2 linked regions of the Canis lupus familiaris genome follow. The protein of the gene in region 1 interacts with the protein of each later gene in a biochemical or structural test. Links are inferred from orthologs where the notes say so. Each region holds a gene or a part of one and is shown in the gene's direction. Other genes may lie near its edges. The genes, in order: RAN and RANGRF.

What was found.
Region 2: the proteins of RAN (region 1) and RANGRF form a complex in vitro, tested with the Homo sapiens proteins (2 studies listed by BioGRID). The link is inferred for Canis lupus familiaris from reciprocal best matches to the Homo sapiens genes RAN and RANGRF.

The regions. Positions count from the first base shown.
Region 1 is NC_049247.1:1,618,324-1,628,908, reverse strand, and holds RAN (GTP-binding nuclear protein Ran), read left to right. Parts: upstream 1-5,477; 5' UTR 5,478-5,489; coding exon 5,490-5,525; intron 5,526-5,633; coding exon 5,634-5,718; intron 5,719-5,791; coding exon 5,792-5,917; intron 5,918-6,745; coding exon 6,746-6,933; intron 6,934-7,102; coding exon 7,103-7,273; intron 7,274-7,368; coding exon 7,369-7,413; 3' UTR 7,414-7,427; downstream 7,428-10,585. UniProt on the Homo sapiens protein: GTPase involved in nucleocytoplasmic transport, participating both to the import and the export from the nucleus of proteins and RNAs. Switches between a cytoplasmic GDP- and a nuclear GTP-bound state by nucleotide exchange and GTP hydrolysis.
Region 2 is NC_049226.1:33,284,617-33,294,481, forward strand, and holds RANGRF (ran guanine nucleotide release factor), read left to right. Parts: upstream 1-5,053; 5' UTR 5,054-5,149; coding exon 5,150-5,250; intron 5,251-5,344; coding exon 5,345-5,461; intron 5,462-5,685; coding exon 5,686-5,842; intron 5,843-5,935; coding exon 5,936-6,021; intron 6,022-6,231; coding exon 6,232-6,355; 3' UTR 6,356-6,506; downstream 6,507-9,865. Other genes in the region: SLC25A35 (solute carrier family 25 member 35), read right to left, coding at 701-878, 1,203-1,342, 7,256-7,390, 7,712-7,864, 8,203-8,268, 9,143-9,517. UniProt on the Homo sapiens protein: May regulate the intracellular trafficking of RAN. Promotes guanine nucleotide release from RAN and inhibits binding of new GTP by preventing the binding of the RAN guanine nucleotide exchange factor RCC1.

The DNA.
Region 1 (10,585 bases):
CACTTTAAAAACTGTCACATTGTTTGTTTTTTTAAGATTTTATTTATTTATTCATGAGAGACACAGAGAGAGAGGCAGAGGGAGAAGCAGGCTCCATGAAAGGAGCTCGACGCGAGACTCCATCCTGGGACTCCAGGATTACACCTGGGCCGAAGGCAGGCGCCAAACCGCAGAGCCACCCAGGGATCTCCCCCAAACCATCACGTTGTTAAGTGCTAGCAACACATTTAGATACAAATTATGTTGTGATCCACCCCAGGATAGGACAAAGAATACTGAAGGCAGGATTTAGCTCATGGGCCACCAAAGTGTACCCCCTACGCTGCCCTGGTCATTGATTGGATGGATATCTGGCATGAGTATATGACAAGGCTCTCGATTTTGCTGTCAGGGGAAATAATTTCTGCACTAATGCTAAGAAGTAGCATGTAATCTATGCACCAGTGTGCTCCCTATATAGAAAAGTGAGTGTCCAGTAAGGAAAACATTTCATTTGACAAGTCATTGATATCCAGCTGGAGTGATGAGTGAAGTAGATAATGGGATCTTCCCTTATTGGTTTGCAAAGTCAAGGAAGTTGATGGAAACTGCACAAATAGGAAAGGTTGACTCTGTATTTGTTAAATGTTTGTTATTTCCTCAATGATTAGTCTTTGACAAGAAATAGCATATTGAAATTCTGATAAGCTTGTATATGTAAGTTATTACTATTTTATTAGCATTATTGGGGCTATTTCTGATTTTTTGTGTTAAGATGGGGTTAAGAGTAGTTCACTCAATAATTCAACACATATTTACTGAGCACCCATTATGAGCCAGGCACTGTGCTAGATACCTTGAGGATTGTGCCAAGCAAGGTGCTTTGTTTATTCTAGTGAGGGAAAGAAAGACAGAATGGTATGCATGTAAATTATTAAGCAAGCTATTTTCAGGTAGGAGTAAGTGCTTGGGAGAAAATCAAGTGAGGGCTGAGATGGAAAATGGCTGGTATGGTGACACCGTTTTCAAGAGGGCAGTCAGAGTGGGCTTCCCTGAGGAGGTGACATTTGAGCTGTGACCTGAAGGGTGAGAAGGAACCAGTCAGGCAAGGATGTAGAAAAAGAGCAGAGGGACCAGTAAGTGCAAAGGCCCTAAGGCAGGGACAAACTTGGGGGAGGTAACGTTCAGAAAGGTTTGCATGGCTACAGAAGAGTTACAGGGAAAAAAAAGCTAGAGCAGAGGATGGAAAAGTAGGCCCATCTTAGCTTACCTCGGGTCTGGCCAGTCATGGATTTCATGTATCTGAAGCGAGCCATTAAAGGGCAGGAGGGGGGTCTGAAATGTTCTACGAAGGTCACTTTGTGCTCCTGAAAAGATGCACTGAGAAGGACATAACCATCTCTCGGGTATCCCAGCCCAAACTGCAGAACTCAAATCCCAACCATTGGAAATATCAGACACATCCAAACGGAGGGTATTCCACAGAAGACCTGGACTACAAAATATGCTGCAGAAGCATAAAAGTCGAAGTGACTGCTCTGGACTGAAGGAAAAGACACAGAGTGAATAGCTGAGGGTCACATGTAATCCCAAATAATCTCAAACCAGCTCTAGGGCAGCAGTGAGACCACTGGCACTCTGGTCTGTAGAGGAGGCGATCCAATTGCAGATGGCTTTGTTTCCTGCTTTGGGTAACGGAACTGTGGTTACGTAACAAAATGTCCTTGGTTTTAAGAAATACACACAGAAGAGCATCCTGCATGCTGCATATTCTCAAACATCCCAGAGGTAAAAAATCCTATATATATTTTAAAATCATATATGTAATGAGATTGTTACTGAGAGAAAGAAGGAGAGGAGGACTAAGGCCAATGAGGAATGCTGATGTTTGAGGAAATTACAGGTAACAGCTGAAATCCCTGGGTTTTTATAATTCTGTTTCCTCTCAGTGCATTTGGCTGCAAAGTTTGAAATTACCGGGTAAGCACGGAGTTGCAATCCATGTTGTGCGGCAGAGACCAGAAGTACCCCCTGTGGACTGCAAAGTCATTAGCATTTGGAAGGGCTGAGGGAGAGGCACCTGGGTGGCTCAGTGTTTGAGCATCTGCCTTCGGCTCAGGTCATACAATTCCAGAGTCCTAGGATTGAATCCCACATCGGGCTTCCCTGCAGGGAGCCTGCTTCTCCCTCTGCCTGTGTCTCTACCTCTCTGTGTCTCTCATGAATAAATAAAAAAAAAACTTATAAAAAAAAAAAAAAAAGGATGGGCTCGGGGAGTTTTACTGGGGAAACTCATTATCTATGTCAGCCAGAGTATGTGTTCCCATTTTTTTCATGTGCTCTCTGAGATGATCATCTTCAGAAGTTCTGGGACAGGGCCAGTTAATGACATCTGCAGCTAATGAACAAACTAAACCACCAGGAGCTCCGTTTAGAATGCTAAGCATGGAGAACAACTAATATCCATATTTGACAGATTTCCTCTTGGATTTTTTTTTTGGTGGGAAGAAATATTTTTCAAAAATGCCAGAAGGTGGGATCCCTGGGTGGCGCAGCGGTTTGGCGCCTGCCTTTGGCCCAGGGCGCGATCCTGGAGACCCGGGATCGAATCCCACATCGGGCTCCCGGTGCATGGAGCCTGCTTCTCCCTCTGCCTGTGTCTCTGCCGCGCTCTCTCTCTCTCTGTGACTATCATAAATAAATAAAAAAAAATTAAAAAAAAAATGCCAGAAGGTGGGAGCACCGGTGTTCTCACCACCTGGAGCTACACGGTGGTTAATATGTTGTCCTGTTTGCTTCAATTACCTTCTTTTAACAGAAGAGAGGGAATCTTCTGTGACTGTTCTGCTCGCCCCATCATACCCCTTCCTACTGTCTCTCGAAACAACAGCTTCATGATTCCGTGTATATTGTTGTAATCAATTAAAAAAATTACCTACATAACATTCAAGAACTAATATGTATAAAAGTGTACATAAATGGTATTGTACCGTACAATCTCTCTATAAAACTACATATACTGTGGACTATTTAAGACCATTATCACATCTTTCTTGAACTTCCTTCTTTCTCAACATTATCCTTTGAGATCTAACCCTGTTGATACAGATGAACTTGCTTCCTTTCAGATGGCATACTGTAATAGTTAAATATTTGTAGTTTCCCTACCAATGGGTATCTCTGGAAGCTGCATTTTTTGTTGCCATAATGTTGTAGCGAACGCTTGAGATACTGTCTCCCTGTGCATATGTGTGAGTTTAACTCCAGAGAATCTCTCTAGAAGTGGAAGTTACAGGGTCGCCAGCTCTCGGCACTCATGTTTTATCAGTTCCTGCTTTCCAGAGAGGCCAAAGCAATGGTCACACCCAAGCAGCATAGAGATCTGTTTGGTGTTTTCCTGAGGGTCCTGGAGAGCAGTGGGATTGGAGTTCCCAGCAGGCAGATTCGCCCAAGTGTTGTGCCCAATTTGCATCACTTGTGTTCCCAATAGGTTTGCTTGCAAAGGGCACTGAAGACTAAGTGGCTAACTCCTCCTCCGTCATCTGGGTTCTCTGCGCTCTGGGAAGAGTCCCCACGGTGGAATCCTTCCTGAGCAACCAGACTACTCTGATGGGGCCACCAGCGGTACTACTCTTGCCGCGAGTGCGGATGTTTGCTTGCAGAGGGGGCCGAGAGGATCTGGGTTATGGAGAATCTGTGGCTGTCCACACAAATGCCAAAAACTGGCCCTAGATTTAGGGTAAGAGGTTAGAGGACTCCACTTGGCCCACTTCCTTGCTGAGAATGAATAGTAGTTAACTGTCAACACTTGCTGAGCTTGTGGCTCATCTTACTTTCTGCCTACACCGGCCCTACGAGGTGGGCATCCCCAGCAGCATGTGACTTCTGAGTGCATGGATCTCGTCTGCATTCTTGCCAGCTTTATTGTCTCCACAGTCTGGAACCTACATACTCATCGATTGCATCCAAATTTGTAACTGGGATGCGAGCCGCCAGGTTTGAAAACACGATTTCGTCATCCTGTGCGCAGGATACAGTCACAAAGGCTGCTGACCAAGGAAATGCTTTAACAAAAGGGTGGCTGCCTTTTAGGGTGAGAAAAAGCATCGATTTTGCACCCTTTACCCCCAAGTAAGGTTTTGGCTGGAGCCAGGGACACCGGGTGTGGGCGGTGGGGGGGCCTGAAACACAAGGCAGGGGCCCGCGGGGTCCAGGTGAGAGGAGGGGGTGCGGCGGGGGCCCAGGGCAGGCTCTGCGGACCGGGGTCTGGGAGGAAGGGCCGGGGCCGGGCCGGGCCGGGGGCGCAGGAAGCGGCCGAGAGGGTGATGGAGGCCCGGGGGAGGCAGGTGGCAGATGGACGGGCGGCTCCGGGAGAGGGTGCGGGTCGGAGCGCCCGGGGTGCCGCGAGAGCCCACAGGGGCAGGGCCACAGGGGCAGGGCCCAAGGCCTCCGCACGCGCCCGCTTCCCCCGCGGCGCACCGTCCCGCGCGCCCACGGCGAGGCCCCACGCCCGGAGGCCCGGGGCTTTGTGTCGGCCGCTCCCCGCGACTTTCCCGCCCAAGAGGCCTGCGCTCTCCTCCCAGTGTCGTGGCGCGGCCGCAGCTGGGCGCGCCGCGTCGGCGTCGGCGCATGCGCGCGCTGGAACCCGCCCTTGGGCCGGCGCACGTGGCCCCGCGAGCCGGCGTGCGTCCGCGCGCCCGCGCCGAGCGCGACTGCCGCCCCGCCGCGACTCTCCCCTCCGCGCCCGGCCGACGGGTGTGGCCGGCCGAGCCCGCGGCGTGCGTGCGCGCGCACGCCGGGCCACGTGGGAGCGACGCGGCGCCGTTGCCCCGCCCCCCCCGGCGCGCGCCGGCGTCGGCTGCGTCTCCGGGCATTTGAATTGCGCTTCCGCCATCTTCCAGCCCTCAGTCAGACGGGCCGGAGACGCTTCTGGAAGGTAAGGCAGCGGGGCCGGGCCGGGGGCCGCGGGGGCCGCGGGGGCCAGGGGCCGGGGGGCCGGGGGGCCGGGGGGTCGGGGGCCGGGCGGGGGCCGGGCGAGGGCCGGGCGAGGGCCGGGGCCGGGGCCGGGCGGCAGTCGTGCGGGCCGGGGCGGCGGCGGCGGCGGCGGCGGGCTCTCGCCGTCCCCTGCCGTAGAGACCGAAGACCGTGGCCGGGACGCCAGTCGCGGTGGGCCCGGGCGGGCGGCGGCCCCGGGGCGGCGCGGGCCGGGGGGCGCGCGATCGGGGCCCCGGGCGGCCCCGGCCTCCGCCCCGCGCGCCGGCCTCCGCCCCGGCCTCCCGGCCTCCCTCCCCCACGGGCGCGCCGCCAGACCCGCCGCCGGAGCAGCGCCGCTCGCCCGCCCGCCCGCCGCCGGGAGCGCGCCGCGGCCCCCGCCCCGGCCCGGGCGTGCGCGCGTGGGGCCCGGCCGCCGGAGCCCCTTTGTGGGCCCGGGCACGTGGGGCGGGCCGGCCATGTGGGCCCGGGCCCCGCCGCCAGCCGTCCCACGTCTGTCTCCCCGCAGCACCAGCGCTATGGCTGCCCAGGGAGAGCCCCAAGTCCAGTTCAAGGTGGGTGGTGCGCGGGGGCGGCCGGGGGGAGCGGGGCGGCGCGGCCCGGGGGGCGCCGGGGCCTCCCCTCCCCCCCCCCGCCCCCCGCGACCGCGTCCTGTCTCGTAGCTGGTGCTGGTTGGCGACGGCGGCACCGGCAAGACCACGTTCGTGAAGCGTCACCTGACGGGTGAATTCGAGAAGAAGTATGTAGGTACGTGGGGGGAGCCGCGGGGGCCCCCGGGAGCGGGGCGCGAGCGGACCTGACGGCCGTGCTTGTGTTGCAGCCACTCTGGGCGTGGAGGTCCACCCCCTCGTGTTCCACACCAACAGGGGCCCCATCAAGTTCAACGTGTGGGACACCGCCGGCCAGGAGAAGTTCGGCGGGCTCCGGGACGGCTACTACATCCAAGGTGGGTGAGGGCGGGCCGGCGGCTGCCGCGTGCTGTGTCATGATGGGCGCAGCGCCGAGCCTGGAGCCTGGAGCCGGGACCCGGAGCGGGCTCCTCACCTAAGACAATGAGCATCCCACGAGGTGCTGCTGTGGCTGCCGGAGTCGTTGGGGCTGGTTGGGGGTTTTTTTGCTTGTTTTTTTCCCTCAAGGGCACTGTAGAGTGGCAGATAAAGACAGGAAGAAAATGTCATCTGGGATCTCTTGTGATGAAAGATGATTGGGAGTCCTTCCATATTTTGCATCCTTTGCTATGTTACAGATACACAGCTTTTTTTTTCTCTTCTTAAAAAGTGTTTAATTAGGAAACTCCTAGACTGTACATACTTCGGTTTGTTGTCTCAATTATATTAGAATTGTGTTCCTCATAGGTCAGTATGTAGGCCTGCGTGTTTTAAGGCAGAATAACATACTCTTTTGTGTAGTTTAGGATCATTTAAAGAGCAGGTTCTGAGATCCTCAGAATAGAGGAGACCAGTTGTCTTAGGGTGCTGCTCTATCGGTAGTCTACTTGAGATTCTGGGATGGGACGGAATTAATGAAGTATTACGGGAGAGATTTGATAAGCTAGGCTGGTAGTTCACACTCACACAGAAAATGAAACTTTAAATCTTGTTACGTATTACAGTGGTTGGAGATCCTTAAACTTGGAAGAGAGAGACATTGGGGTGTAGTGAGTGCAGAAGCAGAGGTAGCCAGATTGGGCCTGTCCCCTAGCCCGTGCTCCTTAGCATTCCTCATTTGTGCAAGAAGTCATACATGTGTAACAGTTTTCCTACATCTGTTTCAGCCCAGTGTGCCATTATAATGTTTGACGTAACGTCAAGGGTTACTTACAAGAATGTGCCTAACTGGCATAGAGATCTGGTACGAGTGTGTGAGAACATCCCCATTGTGCTCTGTGGCAATAAAGTGGATATTAAGGACAGAAAAGTTAAGGCAAAATCTATCGTCTTCCACCGAAAGAAGAACCTTCAGGTATGTTTTTTAAAACTTAATTGTTTTTCTCTAAGATGAAACTACGGTAATAGATCCACTAAAGGAAATTGTGTCTGTGGTATGGATGGAAAAACTATTTTTAGTTTTAAACATTTCAATGATCCTCAAGAAGTAGATTTTTAAAAACTTATTTTATTTTATGGAACAGTACTATGACATTTCTGCCAAAAGTAACTACAATTTTGAGAAGCCGTTCCTGTGGCTTGCTAGAAAACTAATTGGAGACCCTAACCTGGAGTTTGTCGCCATGCCTGCTCTTGCCCCCCCAGAGGTGGTCATGGATCCAGCTCTGGCAGCACAGTACGAGCACGATCTAGAGGTAGGTGGCAGATGGGTCCGTCAGTGGGATCTCTTGGGTGTCCCGTGTCCTGACGGCTCTAACCCATGGTGTCCTGACGTTGTGTCTCTGTCCAGGTTGCTCAGACGACCGCGCTCCCGGATGAGGATGATGACCTGTGAGAAGTGCAGCTGGAGGCCAGCGTCAGAAGTCTAGTTTTATAGGCAACTGTCCTGTGATGTCAGTGGTGCAGCGTGTTTGCCACTTTTATTATATAGCTGAGCAGAACATGTGCTTAATCTTTGGGATGCTGAAGGAGATGAATGGGCTTCGGAGTGAATGTGGCAGTTTAAACAGTACCTTCATTTTTTTGGACCTGCATACTTAGCTGTTTTGGAACGCAGTTGTTTCCTTCCTGAGTTTCAGATAATGAGACTGCTACAGTCCCATCACAATATCCAGTGGTGAAATCTCGTTTGTCACTGTCATTCCCATTCCTTTTCGTTTAGAATCAGAATAAAGTTGTATTTCAAATATCTAAGCCAATGAACTCCTCCCTTGTTTGGTAAGCATCTTAAAACCACTAACAGGAAAAGTTGTGCCACGTTACTGTTGAACTGGCCTTTGCTATTCTCCCTTAATTTGAATCTTTGCAGGTTAAGTTCTTGTCTATTTGTACATTTGGATCCTCTCACACAGGTGACAGGGCAGACATCCGCAGTATTCCGTTTGGTAGATTGTTAGAGGGGTGAGCATCCGTGGTGAAGCTAAAACGATGCCCGTCGCATCTGCCTTCAGACTGGGTGGTGTCACCTGGGGAAGAGCTTTGGACTTCTGTGACCTGTTGGAACAAAACTACTAGACGTTTCGGATAGGCATTTTAAGAATTACAGTTAACATTATTTTGTGACCAGTAACCGTGCTCTCATGTAGGGATGTTCAGAATCTGGTAGAACGATAACAGATGACGGTGGGGACTTGACAGGAGTCTCATTTGTTAAAAATGAGTGTAAGTTATGCATTGATTTGATTTTGTTTTAATGTTAACGTCTAATGTGAAGCTGGTACTCTAGAAAGATGTTCCACGATTACCCGCTGCTTTCAAGTATTTCTGAGTGTTAAAGATGCTGAAGAGTAAGGATTTAAGTTGGGCATCTCACAGCTTTGATGCTTTTTTTTTTTTCTGAAGGATTTTTGTGGCCAATTCAAAGGCACGAACACTAAATAGAAAAGTAGATCTTAGAATGGCTTCTTGAAACGTGAAACATTGCAAAGGTTTCGTTGGATCAAACCATTTATCTTTGTATGATTTACACATTTAAGAACGAGTGGAGTCTGTCTTCAGTTTTGACCCCATGGATGCTATACTGTAGCAGTTAGGAGTCTTAAACTATTATGCTCACTTGAGCACTGCTATGGTTGTTTACCAAAGTTCCTTAGATGTCCATTTCTCCTTAAATGGTTACTTTCTTACCTAAAAAGAAGGTAGGAAGGGGTTGCTTAAATATATGGAAAAATGAAATACAGAGGGTAGAATTTAATAAATTTCAATATTGAGTAAATGTATCAATAGATGTACTTCAATTACTGTAAATGTTACACTATATTAGGTTCAAAACCAGATTTTAAGTGACTTGAAAAGATCGTTCCCATCATTGGGATGAAACCTTTTTCAGATACGTAATAGGAGGCATATGTGTTTGTGACCTGTGTGGAATGCAAGTGTGTGTGACGTGACTAAATCTGAAATGTAACTGTTAAATTTGGAAGCTACTTCACTTACCTGTTGAAAATGGGATGGGAGAGAATTCACAAGTCTTACTGAAAGAAAAATTTGCTGCAAAATATATTGCTTCTTTTTGTCTGGATTTTCTGAATCATCTCTAGTACTCCCTGGGAAACGCTGGATCTTTAGCAGGGATTCCCTTCGTGTGAGGGTGTGTTTCTCTGCAGGTTATACATGTGGGGGATGCTTCTCCCTCCATTTATTGCAATCTGATGTGATGGGGGAGCGTTGAATTGAGAGCCTGTGCCGTGGCTCTGTTGACGTGGACAAGGACAGGTCTGTCCAAGCACAAGCAGTGAGAGCCAGCACAGTTTGCTTCATGTCATGTGTGGAGAGTTCGTTCCTTTGGGTGGCGTCTGTCCTGTTTGGTGACCTCACAATGAAGCAGAATTAATACAGAGCACTGGTAAGATGAGGGCAAGGTGTCTGGTCCCATCAGTGTACACAGTGGGTTCTTCATCTTCTCGGCAGGTCAGGAAAGGGCAGAGGTTTGCAGAAATATATTAAACTTCAAAAAACTACTTTCTTGATTGAGAAGTGCAACTTGAGAATTTGTTTTTTATGAACATCACTTTAGTCTTAGGAAATGAGGTGAACACAGGGCTGAAGGTTGCTTTGGTTTGGCTTGGTTAGGTATACATGTGGGACCAGCCTCAGCAGGTGTGACACCATTGACCATGTTGGGGCTGCAGGCTTTGTGCCTGATTCTAAAGGGACAAGAGACAGGTGCCCCCACCCTGACCTTGAGACCTGGAGCCTTGTTGGAGTAAAAGGTGGGCCTAAGCACTGCAGACCATGCTCAGGGTCCTGTGTCCCTGGCGGATGTTTCCCTGCCCCTGTAGTCTCATATGGCAATGTGCACTGGCTCAGCTGCCCCTGTGGCCATGGTGGAAGGGTCAGCTGGCATTTGATTTGTCCCCCTCACTGGATGCTCCTTGCTCTGCCCTGTCCTTCCCATTACATTTTTCGAGAGGTTTCAAGGGGGAGAACATGGAGGTTTGGGTGGAATGGTGGGGGCGGGGAGGGTCTCCCTGGAGTTTGTAGTTTGCAGTGTCCTCTGCATGTATCCCAGCTTGGGGTCTTAGGGAAAGTGTGCATGATGACACGGGGATCCAGGGTCGGTCGTGCCTCCACTCCGCTGTGGGAGGTGGAAGGAGGGGAGCCTTGGATTTAGTCGGCTTCCAGTTGCCTGCCTTCAAGAAGTAGAGTAGGAGGGACGCCTGGGTGGCTCAGTGGTTGTGTCAGCCTTGGGCTTATGGCGTGATCTCGGGGTCCTGGGATCAAGTCCTGCCTCAGCTCCCCCGCCCCCACCCGCAAAGAGCCTTCCTTCTCTTCACATCTCTCATGAATAAGTTAAAAAAAAAACAATAGGAACCATTACAGGTAAGCTGTCCTTTTAAGATGTAGGCAGAGGATTGCACACATCCTGAGCCGTGTGCTTGGTGATGCTGCGCCCCAGTGGGGAGATGGGCAGCCAAGGACCATACTGAGCTGATCTGCGGAACCAGACTCCTCTGAAAGGGGCTGTGTCCCTGGGAAGGGGTTGGAGAGAGGAGAAAAGGCTTTGA
Region 2 (9,865 bases), on another chromosome or scaffold:
TTGCACTCAGATCATGATCTCAGGGGCGTGAGATTGAGCCTCGTGTCAGGCTCTGCACTGAGCATGCACGGAGTCTGCTTGAGATCCTCTCTCTCCCTCTTCCTCTGCCCCCCACCCTGGAGCTCACACTCACTCTCTCACTCAAAACAAAACAAAACAAAACACTTCTGTAGCAACATCTAAAGCTAATAAAGTCCCTTCCTTTTTTGGGGTTTCATCAGTCAACAGCTTGATGCTGGGAGCTCCGCACACCCTTTCCAGCCCAAGTCACTGCTGCGGCGTATTCTTCACTTTTGCAATCTTAACACAGAATTCATTTGATCAACAATCTCAGTTGAGGGATTCCCAGGTGGCTCAGTGATTTGGTGCCTGCCTTTCGGCCCAGGGCATGATCCTGGGGTCCCAGGATTGAGTCCTGCATCCGGCTCCCTACATGGAGCCTGCTTCTTCTCTGCCGGTCTCTCTACCTCTCTCTCACCACCTCGTATGGCACCTGTCACCCTCTAGGTGCTCAGTAAGTACAGGTGGAACACATGAATAAATATAAATGTTAACATTAGTAAAGATTGATAGATTTTTTTTCTTCTATAAAAGAAAAAATCACTCAGTGATTCTCATTTCCGGTGGCTCAGCTTCACAGGTCCTCTCAAGCATTTATTTCTTTTACTTCCTTTCTCTAGTGGTTCAAAGTGACAAGCTCTTATGACATCAAATGAGGGACACTGTGTGTGTGTGTGTGTGTGTGTGTGTGTGTGTGTGTGTAGGGGGGGTAGACGGACACAAAAACAGTAAGTCTTACCTTTTTCTCAATGTAACACCTGCCTGGCAGCCAACAGGGTCCGGGGGCGCAGGCAGGCCCATCTCCCCACCTCCTGACTCTGGGGTGGAAATTAAAGAAATTTCAGCCAGTCCTTGGACATGTGGGGGCAGCACCAGCCAGACAGTGGAGCCCCATGGGCTGCTAGGGTGGGGCTTGGATTGGAATCCTGTCTCAGGTTCCAGGAAACACCTTCCTGTGTGAGCAGCCCACTAGGAGTGCCTGCGACTGTGAGTCACTCCCCGCCCCCCACGCCGGGGAGGGGTGGGTTTGTGCAGCTTCTTTATCTGCCAGGTCAGCCTGTGGCCACAGAATGGGGGGGATTCAAGAGGATCTCTCACTCAGGTAAAGAGAATGGTGAAGGGCCTCCTCCCAGGGCACTCACAGGGAGGGAGATAGAGCCGAAAGGAACCATCTCCACGGAGGATCTTCTAGGAGAGGCTCAGGGTGCCACGGGAGTGCTCTGCAGGGAACGGGGCACCACCTGTCAGGCTCAGCGAGGGCTTCCCAGGAATGACAGGACACCTGTCATGATAGGAAAGGAAAGGAGTAAGGACACCGGAGGACACCTGAGAAGAGCAGAATGAAGTGCCAGGAAGCAGGCACAGCACTCTCCAGGCAGGAAATGCTGGCTTCAACTGGGGCGTGCAGTGGAAGCCCAGATGGAAGGGGATGGAAGGATCCCAGAGCCGCTGGGGTGCAGAATCACCAGGAACTGGATATGAGAGGATGAGGACAGAGCAGAGCCCATGGGTGAAGCCCAGACTTCCTGGTTGGACCACCAGGTGGGTGCTGATCTCTGTAGTTGTGATTGGATCACAGAGGCTGGGAGGAAGGTGATGGGCTCTGCTTCGCCGCGCTGGGACTGAGGTGTTAGTGGGCCGCGAGAACGGAGGTATCCAGCAGGCTGGCGGGAGAGGTCTGGGATGGAGATGATCTGGGAGCCCCTGGTGTATGTACGTACGGAGAAGGTCACCTAGGAGGTCCGGCAACCGTGTTTAAGGGGTTGGCAGTAAAATTAGGAGGCTCAGTGGCTGGCTTCCCACCACCTGAGTCGCGGGAATATCCTGGGATGCCCTTGGGAAGGAAGCCAGGGCAACAGAGGGCCTAGGGAGCCAGCCCAAGCCCTCCACCGCCGAGTCCTAGCTCTGCTGACCGAGGCAAACTCTTCTGGCCCCAAGATCCTCTCCCAACTGAGTGCATGCAGCCTGCCCCCACCCCCAACACTTCCCCTGTGGCTGGTTACAAGGAAGTGATGTATTAGCTAACTAAAGCAGATGAAAAGCACAAAGTTGTGTGGCACTTTGGGGGCTGGGGCCCCATGGATTCCCAACGATACCTTCCAGAAGGTTCCAAGGGAAGGAATAGGGGGCTTCCCCCACCCTCCCACCCCTACTCCCACCCCGGGGGTTAAAGACACAGGGACTGTAGCCCGAGGAGACCCCTCCTCACCCATGAGAATGTAACGTACCTCCCCCTCCCCGTGAGGATCCATCAGATTCTGAAGAGCTGCCACGAGACCCCTCCCCACACCTCCTCCCTCCCTCAGAGGCAGGCCAGGCCATGGGGGGTGGGGGGAGGCGATGGAGGGTGGGGGATGTGTGCTACAGCGTACCACCTCTCCCAAGTCACCTCCTCCTCCTACTTCTGGAACAGATGCTGAGAGACACATGTGAAATGCAGGAGGGCCCGTGTCCATCGAGAGGTCAAAAGTGCGGGCTGCCAGAACCAAGCTAGGAGAACATGACACTCATTCGGAGGGCGCATGCCCTTTGCCAGCTCCAGGCAGAGGGTCCTGAGGAATGTCGCTGAGTATGGTCACTTGGTGCACTTGTCTCGGTGTCACTGGCTTGGACAATCCCACACCCAAAAGGAGGAATGGCAGGATCAGAGGGGCTGGACTCTACCTCTGGGAAGTGGAGGCAGTAAAGCACCCAGTCTTGTGACTTAGGGGCAAGAACAGAGGCCCTCTCTCCTCTTTGCCCTGTCCACAACCAAACCCTTCACTGCCTACTTCTGTCGGGCGTCACCATTCTTCTTGGCCTGGCCACCATCTTTGACACTCTCTTCATGCTTCCTCTACGCTTTGCGGACCCCCCAGACTATGGCTTCTCTTGCTTATTGCTTTTCTGGCTTCATCTCTTCCTCTCCTGTCTCTCTACGAGCTTAGTGTAGACCCTCATCCCCCTGAACTTGGGATATTACCGACTTCTTATTCTGTTTCACCCTGACTGGTCTAACACCAACTGCAATAAGCATCGGATGCCTCAAGGTACAGTCTGTTTTCCACCAGCCAACACTCATTTCAGATGCCAACCATAAATCTTACAAGTCCCTAAGTAACCACATCTCTGGCCAACTGGCTATAAATCCCACAGTTCCTGAAATGCCCAGAGGTTCAATAATTCACTGAAACAACTCGAACTAAGGGAAGTACTATACTTTTGATTGCTGTTTCACTCTAAGGACACATAAATGTAAGATCTGGAAGGGTCCTGGAAGGAGAGCTTCCAAGCTCATTCCCTGACACATCAGTGTGTTTGCCATCCAAGAAGTTCCCTTGAGCCTTGATGTCCAGAATCTTTATTGGGGCTTGCTTTTTTTTTTTTTTTAAGATTTTATTTATTTATTCCTTCATTCATCAGAGACACACACACACAGAGAGAGAGAGAGAGAGAGAGAGAGAGAGAGAGGCAGAAGCAGGCTCCATGCAGGGAGCCGGACGCGGGACTCAACCCCCCCCCCGCCAAGGGGCACCTGGGTGAGTCAGTGGTTGAGCATTTGCCTTGGGCTCAGGGCGTGATCCCGGGGTCCAGGGATCGAGTCCCGAGTCCCGCATCGGGCTCCCCCCAGGAAGCATGCTTCTCCCTCTGCCTGTGTCTCTGCCTCTCTGTGTCTCTCATGAATAAGTAAATAAAATCTTAAAAAAAAAAAAAGTGCACAAGTCCTCTCCAGTGTCACTGTTTCCAGCTCCTGCCACCTGTCCCTCACTGCACCCTGGCCAAGCCAATACACTTCCATCTCCCAAGATACGCCCTTTCAAAAGTTCCAAGTCGGGATCCCTGGGTGGCGCAGCGGTTTAGCGCCTGCCTTTGGCCCAGCGCGCGATCCTGGAGACCTGGGATCGAATCCCACGTCGGGCTTCTGGTGCATGGAGCCTGCTTCTCCCTCTGCCTGTGTCTCTGCCTCTCTCTCTCTCTGTGTGTGTGACTATCATAAAAATAAAATAAAAAAAAAAAAACTTAAAACAAAAAAACCCCAAAAGTTCCAAGTCTTTGCACCTGATATTCCTCTGCCTAAAACACCCCTAGGATGCCCTGGTGAATTTTGGGTCAACCTTTAATACTCAAAGTGTTCCCAGCAGTCCTTGGTGAGGCAGGGATCATGACCTAACTGCCTTTGTATCTCCAGCTTCGGTAAGGGGCCCCAAAATGAGGAGTCCCCTGGCCCCAGGGCCATGAAATCATTAGGGTCCGTAAGTAGAGGCAGCACTTGGAACCCCGTGGGTAAGGCGTTTATCCATTCATCCCACAATACCTAATGGCCCTGTTATGTTCTGAACACTGGCAGGCGCTGGGGATTAAACACGAATGGAGAAATCAGCTGGGAGAATGTAACTGGGCGAAAACTTTTGAGAACATTCTAAAAAATCAATGAAAGAGAAACAACAGAGGGTTTAATCCGTGTTTTCCTCCAGGTGCGTGTGGGGGCGGCCAGCCTCTCCACCCCACCCACCCCCACCGAGTTCTCAAGGCAAGATTTGAGACGGATTAAACGCCTAATCCGCGGGTTGGGTCTCGCCTGCAGGAAGGGCCTCACACCTGGCCCCACTGTTCCCCTAAATCCCCGCATCCGGGGAATTAGCGGTCGGGTTTGCAGCTCGCTGCCTCCAAGTCCCCCCCAAGAAGGGAGCTGCAAGACCTTCAAAGGTATTCTCCCGATTCAGGAGACCCCACCCAGACGTCAACCCCTTGCCCGAGCAAGGGTCCCCAAGGAAGGTCTCAAGCGACAGTCTCAGAAGGCGCGACCTCTTTAAAGAAGGGAGACTGTGGGCGCGGGCTGGAGGGCACCGGGCGCTCACAAACCCCGGCGCCAGGGTCGGACCTCGCCGCTTGCAGCCCGCGGCAGCCCCCAGGTTCCGCCCCCGCGAGAGCCAGGCTTCCGGGAGCCGCCCCGCTGGGCACCGCCCCCCAAGGCGCAGACGCTAATTGGCCAGCGCGGCCGAGGGGGCGGGGCCAACCCGTAAAGGGGCGGGAGCTAAGGTGGACCGGAGGCGGCGGCGGTGATGGTGATGCCGCGTGGCCACACGTGAGTTTCTTCTATATCTCTCTGATGCCCGCACCCAGTCCCAGGCCCATGGAGCCCACGCGAGACTACCCGCTGTTCGGGGGCGCCTTCTCCGCCACTCTGCCTCCGGGGGCCCTTGACGTAAGGTGAGAAGGCGCGAGCGCCGCGGACCCGTCCGGTGGGATGAGGGGAGAAGCGAGGGCTCAGCCGGTGGGGGGGGTCTGCCTCGACTCTCTCCAGCGACCTGCGACCGGTCCCGGACAATCAGGAAGTTTTCTGCCACCGCGTGACTGACCAGAGCCTGATCGTGGAACTTCTGGAGCTGCAGGCCCACGTGCAGGGCGAGGAGGCTGCGCGGTGAGGGAGGCGGCCGCCCGCGCGGCTGGCCAATGGGAGGGCCGGAGCCGAAGAGGTGGGCGGGGCCTGCGGCAGGACGGTTAATCAGGGCCGTGAGACAGCCCAAGGGCAACACCTTATCGCGGGAAGTGAGCGAAGCTTAAAGGGCTCGATGATGCTGGGCAGGAGGGAGTGGGCGGCCGGTCACCGTCCCTCCCTGACCCCGCCCGCGCCCCCTCCTCTAGGTACCACTTTGAGGACGTGGGCGGGATGCAGGAGGCTAGGGCCCTGCAAGTGGACAGTGTGCAGCCCCTCCTTTCGGAGAACCTGGCTCTCCGGAGCTACTGTCAAGAAGCCTGGGTCCTCTCTGGCAAGCAGCAGGTAGCTAAAGAAAACCACCAGGTGAGAGCACGGGAGTGTGAGATTCCTGGAGGGGTGATGGGAGGGGCCCTGGGGGGCGGGGTCAGGTAAGCATCTTGACCCTGATCCCTTCAGGTAGCAAAGGACGTGATGGTGCACCAGGCTTTGTTGCGGCTGCCCCGCTATCAGACTGATGTCCTGGTCACCTTCAATGAGCCCCCGTAAGGAGGACAGAAAGGACACATGGCTCATGACTGGGTCCCCCAGGAGGATCTGCTGGGAGGGGCAGAGCGGGGAGACTGGCTGGTGGGGTCCTCCAAGAAAGAGGGAGAGGGCCAGAGGCTTGGGGTCCTCCTGGGAACAGGAAGTGGGACTGTCACCACCTGAGGCCTGGATGTTGTTCTTTCTCCATCTGTTCCCCCACCCCCAAGCCCTGACAATAGGTTATCTCTTGGTCCTGAAAATCTGTCACTTCTGCCCTGGAGCCTGGGTGACTTTGAACAGCTGGTGACTAGTCTGACCCTTCACGATCCCAACATCTTTGGTCCCCAGTAAAGATGCTGAAACACTGCGTAAAGCTGCTGAAGCACACAGGGACCCCGTTCTGCAAGGGGACCAAGGAGTTGGATATATGCCCTTAATTCCTTCCCTGTGCATAAACATAAGACACCTCCTGTCTGCAGAAATAAACTTGCTTTATAACGAAGATAATATCTCTGTGCCTTGCTGAATCCAACAAGACACCTGGGTCCCCCCTGGTTCCTTTTGGTCTTGGAGTGGGGGGTTAAAAGTTTGTGCATAGGATCAGAAGGGGACCCAAGGCCATCCACATAAAAGGAGGGAATACTTTGGAGTGATTGGCTCTGCCCTGAGAGAGGGGGTGTGACGTGTCCAGGAGGATGGGTAGGGAAGGTTTAAAGTGACACCCAAGGAAGGGAGGCAGACTGTTCCTTGTAGTGATTTAACCCTGAGAAAACAGATGGGGAGTGGTGTTGGCTGTCCCCCTTGGGTGGATGACAGGTCACCTGGTCAGAAGTCACCAGGATATAGTAGTGGAGGCAGAAGTGTCCAAGGAGTGCTGATTTGGTGGTGTGTGCAAGAGTGGCTGTTGTCATTTGGTGTACGTGTAGTAGAGGGTGCGTAACTGGTCCCAGAAGAAGAGGGAAAGGATGGTGTGGGGGCCAAGGCGGAAGTAGGAGGCACCTATACCCTTGTACATGCCAAAAATGCCCTCTGTCCGAGCAGTTTGCAGCAGAGCATCCAGGATCCCCCGGTACATGAGGCCCTGAGAGCGGGTTGAGAGGGAGGGAGAGCACAGGGAAGGAGTCTGTCAGAGCCCACCAGGGGCGTCATCTCAGCGGGCTGCATTTTAGGCTGTCCCACCTGCACCCACAATTTGCTTTCACCCACCGCCTGGCCTTCCCTGCCTGCTGGCACTCCAGAGTACCCCCTTACCTTGCCCCGAGCATCTGTGGGCTGGTTGTAGAGCCTTGTACTGGCCACATCAAAGGGTGTCATGGCCAGGACCACTGCAATGCCACTCACCATGGCAGCCACCAGAGCAACCTTCCAGCTCTGGGGAGGAAATATCTAAGGGTGGAGGGAGGAAGAGAATTTTGTCAACCAATTGTTTAACCCCTGGGAAAGAACGGGGCCCTGCCCTGGGGATAGAGTAGAGAGCCTGTAACTCAGGGAGCTCCCAAGGGCAGGATGCTCCAGCACTCAGATGCACCATCTGGGATGAGGTGACAAGAGGATCATGGGAAGGGCGTAAAGAGTCTGTGACCCTCAAGTCCTCCTGCCATTCCCTCGCATCGAACATCACCATGCGACATTCATGGGCCCCAATTCAGCTTGCCCTCCCACTGCCCGCACCCCCAGTGTGGCCCCATCCCTTTTGCCGGGCAGTACCTCCCACTGAGTGATGAAGTCCTTGGTGGATGAGAAGGTGCAGAGCTGGGTGGAAGAACCGATGATAACTCGGGGCAGGCCGCCCAGGGCCCCACGCCACAACCCCACCAGACCATGTTTCTGGCCAATCTTGCTTAGCGCCTGAAACATGCCCTGGTAGGGGGAAGACCACGGGGGCGGGCTTCAGTCACCCCGGCATCAGGGAGCTGCCACCTAACCCTGCCAAAGAGGGGTCTTGAACGGGCACCCGGTGTCTGGACAACCAGTTCCATGTGGACTTAGATTTGGAATGTTTCTATCACCCGCACTGTTCTCTTCCTCACCACTCCACAGGAGGGGCAGGGGGTGGGTGCTGAATCGGTGGGCTAGGCAAGCCATGGCTGCCTTGCAGCAGTTGGGCACAGGCAGAGAGCTGCGGGGTGGGTGGTGCAGGAAGTGGGGGGAACGGGAAAGAATGGGCAGGGACCCCAGTAGGGTTGGAAAACACTTACCTGATGCTTATACTGATGTCCTACAGCAATTTCTGAGGCTGCCTGTGCCTGCAGGTGTGTCTTTACCTGGGGACAAGAGAATGTCATGGCCTACGGCCCAGTGGTCAGCCTCCCACCTCAAAGACTTGAACGCCTGACCCTATCACACTTCCTCCAGGGTGTTCAGCAAGGAGTATCCTTTTAATCTGATCATTGTTGTTGTTCCCACTTAACACGTTGGTCATGAGACTCTGTGTCCCTTGGCTCCGGTCCCAGGGGATGGATCTCCTAGCACTGCAAGATACCCCACGCCCTCTACATCTTCCTTCCCTTGGGGGTTGAGTGGGGGATGGACAGGTTAGAGAATGGCAACATTTCCTAAGACTGTCCCTGTTAGGCAGCACTTGGGTGTCTGGCCTCTCATGTCAGCTCCTATTCCCAGACTGGATCTCTAGTTACCACCATGACCAGACTCCTCCATCCAACTCTGGGGCAGGTTGCCGTAAAACTTGCTCTCTGGCTCCCAAGCCCCAAGGAGGCATGTGGAGGCTGACTTTGGAGGGGTCACTGTTTCTGAATGTCATATCCTAGGAGTGAGACCAGACTTGCCTCTCTTATAGAACTGCCTGACCGCCAGTGTCTTCCAGGAGGAACACTAAGCAGAACCTAGTCCTAGCAGCAAGCAGCTGTGTGACCTTGAGCTGGTCACTTCCCTTCTCTGGGCCTCAGGCTATTGATCCTTTACCTATTCCAGAAAACTCAAAGGAGGAGACTGTGGGATTATAATTCTGTGGTGCCCAGGACTCTCCCTCATCCCTACACCCACTGACGATGTTACTCAGATTCTTCATTGTTCCCTGCACAAACCCACTTCCAATCTCAGTGTCAGATTGTGAAGGCCCAGGCCCCACCCTACACCAAGGGTCTGCCTGGAGGCCCCAGGCAAGACCCTTCCTCTCACCATGTAGATGGGGCTCCCCAAATAGGCTCCCATGACCCCAGCCAGGGCCCCAGCTGCTGCGCTTCGCGGAGGGCTGAGGGTGCCTTCGGCAGTATGCAGGTAGCCTCTGGCCTCAGCCAGGCTGTAGGTGCCCAGGCGGATGCCATTCATCAGGAACTGGTATAAGAGGGCAGGGGCCAGTCCCTTCTGCAGGGCAGCCAGGCCATCCACCCTGCCGATGGTGATGAAAGCGTGGAAGACATTTCGGTAGTGCCGCTGGTAGGTGCCGGGGGCCTTCAATTCTCCCTGCAACTGCATCCTGGTCTTTACCACCTCCAGAGGGTTGGTGAACACACAGGCCCCGCAGGCTGCCAGGCCGCTCATCAAGAAGTCCATGGTGGGGTCGCAGTGACAGGAAGTGACCCAGGAGTAAGAAAGTAAAAATGAGCCTCAGAAATGGAGTCAGAACTCAGGGGGTAGGCCTCCGTCTTGGCAAGTTTGGACTGCAGGAGGCAGGAACTGAGAGATTTGGGGTGAAGAATGTTAGGGTCAGATGTCAAGAGGTCAAAGGTTAGCTGGAATTTGGGAGTCAGGAGCTGGCAAAGAAAGAAGGAAAAGGAGTTTAGGAGAGTCTGGTGGGAAGGTTATGGCAGTGCCCCGTCGGTCACGGGATCCGAGGTCAAGGAGGGGCAGAAGCCAGGCGGATGGCAGGTGGGATGATGGGGATGGTCAGCCACGGGCCCG